2 linked regions of the Neurospora crassa OR74A genome follow. The protein of the gene in region 1 binds, or shares a complex with, the protein of each later gene. Links are inferred from orthologs where the notes say so. Each region holds a gene or a part of one and is shown in the gene's direction. Other genes may lie near its edges.

Region 1 (3,490 bases):
ACAGGTCCTTGTCGATGGCCCCTCGTCCGACCCCAAGCTCGCTGCCCCCCGCGGCGTCGTTTCCCTCTCCAGAACCCTTCTCACCCCCCTCGTCGTCGAGAAGCTTCCCCGTGGTGCCCGCACTGGTGCCGTCAAGAAGGCCTGGGAGGCCGCTGGCATCGATGCCAAGTGGAAGGAGAGCAACTGGGCCAAGAAGCAGCTCCAGCAGGAGCGCCGCAAGGCCCTCACCGACTTCGACCGCTTCAAGGTTATGCGCCTCAAGAAGCAGCGCCGCTTCGAGGAGCGCAAGGCTCTCGCCAAGATCAAGGCCTCTGCTTAATTGATTTGGGATGATTAGATTTGGGAGCGTTTGGTCGGCATGGTTCTTGGGTGGAGGGTTTTTCGAAACGGTCTGCATGAACAACATCAGCATCAGGGTTGCTGGGATACCTCTCTGCGTCGCATTCGGAAGACCTCTTTTGTCACATCATCAGGGTGGCTTGCGGCGTCATAGGGAAAATGCGAATTAAGCCAAAAATGACCCCAAGGTCTATACCCCCTAAAAACCACCATTTCTTGGGTTTATCTGAGGAGCTGGAATCAATCAAAGCAAGCTGTGATGAACATATCCGAGCTCCGGACAGGGAAGACCAGATTGTGACCATTGCGCCCCGGTGACTTCGGATTTGGTGTGAAGTGATGGTATGGTTTGACTACGCGTCTGGCGCGGTTGGGACGGGCGACTTGTGGCAGCAGAGGTGGATGGAATGGACAGACAAGGGATACAACAACTTCTTGGTCACGGTTGGTTCCTGTTCGGCTGGCTGTGGGTTGTGGCACGCTATCCGCACGTGAAGCTGTATGTTGACGTTCTGACATCCACATAAAGATATGGGACTTGACATAATAGCACTCGATCCCATGTCAAGTTTGCTAGAGGGTAATCATGGCTTGCCATGGTCAACAACAGACGTTTCGAATTACTTTATGAACTTTTTACCATTGGGAAACTTCTGTGAAGCTGCTGGTGAAGATTGTTCGGCATCGTGAGTAGTTCGGACTTATACAACACACGACGCTATGAGTACATCTTGAAGATGACCTCACTGGTGATGGCCCCTGCCAAGACAAATCAAGAGGGCGAGTTACGCCCGGTAGATCCAGAGCAGAAATCTCCAACATCGGCCATTTTTTAGCATAGCGCAACCTTGAAGAACAAAATAATGCTTAAGCAGAAGTCAGTTACAATCCGCAATCACCAACCAACCAGAACAATCTCTACGTGAACAACTTGGACTACATAGTACATTGTCGTTGAGGGTAAATGTGGACATTGTTCATCAAGACCCTCTCTATACGCATATGGGGCTCCACAGTCTGGTCGGGTAGAAATTGAACTAGCATGATGATTAGGGTTACCGAGGGGTATCGGACAAAGGAGGTTCCTGGGCAAGCTGGGCAGTGGCTGCTGTGCCCGGTCGAGCGATCACACACCGGGGCCGGGGGCGTGCACGCACTTTTGGTGAATTTTGGATCCCGAACTTTTTCTCTCCCACCACGCCTTGCGACCCCTTCACAACCCCGCATATCAAACCTTAGCGGTATTTTCTCAACAATGTGAGTGCGACGAGGAGATGCACACTCGTGGTACCCGTCCTTTGCTCGGGCCCGTCGCCCCGGCACGATATTGCCATTTTTGCAGCTCAGAATGAGTGCAAAACAGGACGCATTTGAGCGGTGGTGTGTGTGCGATTGTGTGCGGGGCTAGAGAGCTGACCAGTCAATCCGCAACTAGCTATCAAAATGGCCGATCCCAGAGTTGAGGAGCTCCCCGAGGAGGAGGTTAAGAAGACCCAGGTCGAGGATCTCGACAACTCCAGCGATGACGAGTCCGATATCGAGGCTGGCGACTCCAGCCTTCCCGCTGGCTCCCAGGCCGTAATCCACTCCCGCAACGAGAAGAAGGCTCGCAAGGCCATTGAGAAGCTGCACCTCCAGCGCGTGCCCGGCATCACCCGCGTCACCCTCCGCCGCCCCAAGAACGTGAGTTGGGAACATTGGAAGAGCGACTGCTGGCACAGCACTCCTGCCGTCGTGGACAGCCCCGCGATTGGACAGCTTTGTGTTTCAAGGCGGAAGCTTGGAGCTCCCTTTCTGGTGGGGAACTACTATAGCTAACAGAGACGACCAGATTCTCTTCGTCATTAACAACCCTGAGGTTTACAAGTCTCCCAACAGCAACACCTACATGTGAGCTTGCCCGTCCGCTTCGTCGCGGTACCTCTCCGGTCACCTCGCCGGTTCAAAGACTAACCCTTGGGACAGCGTCTTCGGTGAGGCTAAGATTGAGGACCTCAACGCCTCTGCCCAGGCCGCCGCTGCCCAGCAGCTCGCCAGCCAGTCCGCTGAGCACGACCACGCCGGCCACACCCACGAGCACGAGGAGGCTGGCAAGGCCAAGGAGGAGGAAGAGGAGGATGAGGGTGAGGAGGTCGACGCCGAGGGTATTGAGGACAAGGACATCGAGCTTGTCATGACCCAGGCCAACGTCTCCCGCAAGAAGGCCATCAAGGCTCTCAAAGAGAACGACAACGATATCGTCAACTCCATCATGGCGTTGAGCATCTGAGTTGTCGTTAGGAGCCCTTGATTGACGTTAAAATATACCTCTTGGCCCACCAACCCCGCCGCCATACGGCTTCTATCGTGTCTTAGTACCATTGACTGCGAAGCTTCTCATCCTCGACGGCTTAGCGAATTGTTGAGTTCGACATGTATTCATATCATTAGGCCACCTTCTGTCCCTACCTTCTTGACAGCCGTGGATATAAAAGGTATCATGGTCCATTCGGTCGTAGTTTAAGCTCCACGGGAAATTGGAAGAGCTTCATCTTCATATGTGCAGATTTGATCTCCTCCTGATGAGACTTCACGGATTTTGTTGTGAAGAGTTTGCAACGTGGTGTGCTTTCACTTGAGGCATTCCATCCGGTACCTCCCCTCATCCGAGACAAAATAGATGAGACCAACAAACGGGTTAGGTAAACCAGTCCGCTACCGCTCGCCAAGATTCTTCCTCTAAAAATAAGGCCGTTGCAAGACTGTGATAGGGATTACAACAATTCAAAGTAGAGTCCCATTCAAATACTTCTATCCAAGAGTTGCCTAGAACCTAAGACCCGAGGTGTAATGAAGACGCTTGGATGCGTAGTAAGAGTATAACCAGGGTATAATATCGAAGATCTCAACTATTCTGTCTAGGACGAGCTTGGGCATTCCGGTACCTTCCGTGAGTATGAACACACTGAATGCGCACGGAAACGTCAGCTCCAGAGCGTCAGTGCCGTTTGTTCAGCGAGAAATTCAACTGGGCCACCAGACGAACTGTTATAGCTTCCATTCACTTGACAAATGCTCAATTTTCTGGCTTGGCGCAAAAGTTGTAAAGAACATCTTCGCCGTGAGTCGCGACCCGATCATCCCACTGGGGTAGAGTCACGTGACGGCTTCG
Region 2 (3,776 bases), about 3.0 Mb from region 1:
CAAGAATGGCCGCCAAAAAGCCAGTCAACTGGTGGCTCTGGACCAAGATGTTGCTCGGGTAAGGATTTTATTCTCTTCCATCCCCCACCTCCTCTTACATCTCACAAGTCCAAATTCAAGAAGAAGAGAGATCTAACAAACTCTTGTTGGCCCAAACAAACAGTGGAGCAGCAATCTGCGTCGGCGGTCCTGCATTCACCTACTGGCTCACCCCGACAGACGAGGAGCTCTTCCAAAAGTATAACCCGGAGCTGCAGAAGAGGAGTCTGGAGAGGCGGTTCGAGCGTCAGCAGGAGTTTGACGACTTTGTCACCAAGTTGAAGGAGTACTCCAAGTCTGATAAGCCAAGTAAGCTTTCTTCCCTCTGTCCCTTTTTGTCCGTCTGTTGGCAATTCTGTTGGAGTTTTTGTTGGGATGGAGGAGGAGATGGATAGAGGTGGGGATTTGTTTGCGGATGTGGATAGGAAGAAAGAGGGATGGGAATGGGCAAAGCAAGATGAAGATGGAGATAAGTGAGATGAGTAGCGTGCTAACTTTGACTTTTCTAGTCTGGACGGTTCAGGCCGAGGCCGAGGAAAAAGAGAGACAGCAGCGGGCGTCGGTGCAGAAGAGTCTGGCATTGGCGGATGAGGTGAAGGCTAGGAAAGAGGCTATGAGGCGTGAGGCCGGTCTTCCGCTTGAGAAGTAGTGGTTAGGCTAGCTTTACGTTGGGAAGTGGTCATACGTAGGCGGTTTGGGTTGTAACATCATGATTCTGTACAAAACTACTGTGTATTCTAAGATGGGTATTGAAAGAGAAGGCGTTCAAAAGGGTCTTGGGTTTTTAGGACGGAGATGATTAGCTTTTGGTTCCAAAGTCCCATGGTCTCGAAGTTGTGCAATATCACGATGTTCTCTGGAAAGACTGTTTGCTGCTTCGCTTTTCAGAAATGGAGGGTATAGGACCATCATCCAACCTAAACTATGTAGTGAAGCGAGCTGTCCCATGTACAACTACGTTGGCAGATATCATCCTATGAGGGACCTCATAACAGACGATGATGTCAAGTCCCAAGGTGAGGCGAGTTTACTTTCGCGGTAAGCAGGAAACAAGTCAAGGTGAGCACCAAAGCAGGTGGGGTAGAATTTTGATGTGGTTCCGCTAGCTGGACATACGAGGCCCGGCGTACAAGACCTATTCCTCAACTTCCGAAAGCAGATGAGGATGAAGCTCAATATCAACACTATATAGATTAAAGGTAACTCCCGGTGACTGTAGTAGGGTTGTTTACCTAACCGTTTCGAACCATGCCGTATAAGCTTAACATGGCGGCGGGGGTGTAGGTATGTGGAAAGTTTCTTGAAGGACAAGATTTTAAGTATGCACGGGCCAACTGCCCATCCAGCACCGCCGCGCGACGCTCACACATCACCCCTCTTCTCAGCCAGCAGCATGAACCCCCCAGCCCGCAAAGCCCAGAGCCCACACTACCGCCCACAGGTCCTTGATGAGGTCCCAGCGCCAAACTAACCCTGAGCTCTAAGGTTCACCGAGATCTCCCGCACCTTTCGCTTTTTCCCCACAACAGATCAATCTCACATCCTCTCATCACCAAACAAACCGCCAGCAAAAATGTCGGATGTTCAGGAGCGTTTGAAGAAGCTGGGCGCCTCGGCCCGTATCGGTATGTCGTCGCCCATGTTTTCGCTCTGTAGGATGAGGTTCTGTTCGACAGGCTAACAAAGGTGCTTTCCCTCCGCTTTAGGGTATGTAGAAATTCAAATATCACTCGTCAATCGCTCTCGCACACAACACGCACAAAAAAACGAGCCAGCACCGAATTACCCCTCCATTCTTTCGCGCGCGCGCCCTCGATTGTCTCCCACACAAAAAACCTCCCCCCGCGAGCCCAGCGAAAGGCGATGAGCAACGTGCAGATGCAGACAAAATGAGAGGCTTTTGATTTCTGACAATGGACTTTTTTTTCGAAATGAAATAGTGGCAAGGGTACTCCCCGCAGAAAGGTCAAGAGAGCGCCTGCCCGCTCCGCTGGCGATGACAAGAAGCTCCAGGCCACCCTCAAGAAGGTCAATGTTCAGCCCATCCAGGCCATCGAGGAGGTGAACATGTTCAAGAGCGACGGCAACGTCATCCACTTCGCCGCCCCTAAGGGTACGTACCAATACGCCCAGTTTCAATTTCGCGATATGGACCCCCCTTGACTGGGCTTGGTCCAAAATCGCCAGTATGCAAGAGTGTTATGGCCTACTTAGTCAGGCGGCCTCTTGACATATCGCGACAGCTAAGCTTCAAACGTTGGTTGGGGGCTTGTCTGCTAACAAGTTGTGTTTCTTGTACCACAGTTCACGCCGCTGTCCCTGCCAACACTTTCGCCATCTACGGCAACGGTGAGGACAAGGAGCTCACTGAGCTCGTCCCCGGTATCCTTAACCAGCTCGGCCCCGACTCTCTCGCTTCCCTCCGCAAGCTTGCCGAGAGCTACCAGAACATGCAGAAGAACGAGAAGGACGCTGAGGAGGATGATATCCCCGATCTCGTTGCCGGCGAGAACTTCGAGAGCAAGGTCGAGTAAATTACAAAAAAATAAAATACTCCCTCTCTCTGTTTGATTCCCCCAAAACGCGGTCTTTCCTATCTTCAGATTTGCGGTGACATTTATCATGGCGTGCTGCGTTGGGGAAATCACGGGGTCTCTTCAACCCGTCCTTTAGTTGTTCAATGTCTTCTCATGATGGCTTATGAATCTATGTGAAGCTGGGAAATGCTCTTCGGGCGGCAATGTTGATGTCATCTTCCAGCTCAAAGAGAAAGGATGTTACTTGGTACATGTGGCAACGAGGCGGAAAGACGTGTTTAATTGTCTTCGTCCATCTCGGTTTGCTCCTGGACTCTTCCAGAGAAAGACTGCGGTTGAAATGATGGTTATAGGAACAACGCATTCTACATCAAAACGATGTACATAACCAAAACCAAACAACTGACCAAGCGCTGGAAAATGGAAAAAGCTTCTTGGCCTCTCGAACCAACATTGGAGAGAAGTACGAATCAGGAATCGTGACCCATATGACAACGAGACAAAGATGATGTGGAGACGAGACATGCTGTGCATTCAAGTGCGCAAGTGAAATGTCACTCATTCACGCTTTGTATAGTGACCACATATCTCCCAGCAATCCTTCTCTGAATCGTTCCTCAACACTCCTTTGATTTACTCAAGTTTAAAGCTTCCACCCCTAGTATTCCTTACCCACCCTTTCAACGCCACCCTTTTCGTCTCCTCCTTTGCCCTCCGTCTCCCCTCAAGCAAGCTACTTCCATCCTTGATCTCATCATACACAAGGTTCGTACTTCCCAGGACTCGCTTGATCTCGCCATCGTCGTTGAGCGCCATCATCGAACAAACCTCCCTCGCCAAAGTCCACATCTTCCGCCGAGAGACCAGACTCGCTCCCCGTAAATCAAACTGCTTCCGGCCCTGCAACACGCCACCCACCAAACCCTCCCCATCGCGCGGGCCGTTGAGCGTCCATGATGTCGCAAGGTTGCTAGCTATGAGCTTCTTTGGCTTTGTGTCCTTGACGTCTGCCATGTCCGTCATATCTTTAGAGGAGGAATTATTTGGAGGGAGTATAGCCCTCCTAGAAAATGCAAACTCCATCTTCGTCGTCTCAACCCTAAACTCCCGAAAGACATATCCTGCAGCCTCCAGCTTCGCGCTCACGCTCGTGTCAAGTAAGGGTGCCATCCGCCCCCCATCAGCAGATGAAGAAGAGAA

The links.
Region 2: NCU00635 (region 1) and NCU03148 share a complex: the UniProt entries of both Saccharomyces cerevisiae proteins name them as parts of the nascent polypeptide-associated complex. The link is inferred for Neurospora crassa OR74A from reciprocal best matches to the Saccharomyces cerevisiae genes EGD2 and EGD1.

Annotation. Positions count from the first base shown.
Region 1 is NC_026501.1:7,743,867-7,747,356, reverse strand, and holds NCU00635 (nascent polypeptide-associated complex subunit alpha), read left to right. Parts: upstream 1-1,428; 5' UTR 1,429-1,596; intron 1,597-1,774; 5' UTR 1,775-1,782; coding exon 1,783-2,022; intron 2,023-2,170; coding exon 2,171-2,229; intron 2,230-2,304; coding exon 2,305-2,608; 3' UTR 2,609-2,940; downstream 2,941-3,490. Other genes in the region: NCU00634 (60S ribosomal protein L14), read left to right, coding at 5-319. UniProt on the Saccharomyces cerevisiae protein: Component of the nascent polypeptide-associated complex (NAC), a dynamic component of the ribosomal exit tunnel, protecting the emerging polypeptides from interaction with other cytoplasmic proteins to ensure appropriate nascent protein targeting.
Region 2 is NC_026501.1:4,724,827-4,728,602, forward strand, and holds NCU03148 (nascent polypeptide-associated complex beta subunit), read left to right. Parts: upstream 1-1,499; 5' UTR 1,500-1,612; coding exon 1,613-1,668; intron 1,669-1,979; coding exon 1,980-2,152; intron 2,153-2,343; coding exon 2,344-2,573; 3' UTR 2,574-3,045; downstream 3,046-3,776. Other genes in the region: NCU03147 (assembly factor cbp-4), read left to right, coding at 6-58, 164-348, 549-688; NCU03149 (tRNA-specific adenosine deaminase, variant), read right to left, coding at 3,210-3,776. UniProt on the Saccharomyces cerevisiae protein: Component of the nascent polypeptide-associated complex (NAC), a dynamic component of the ribosomal exit tunnel, protecting the emerging polypeptides from interaction with other cytoplasmic proteins to ensure appropriate nascent protein targeting.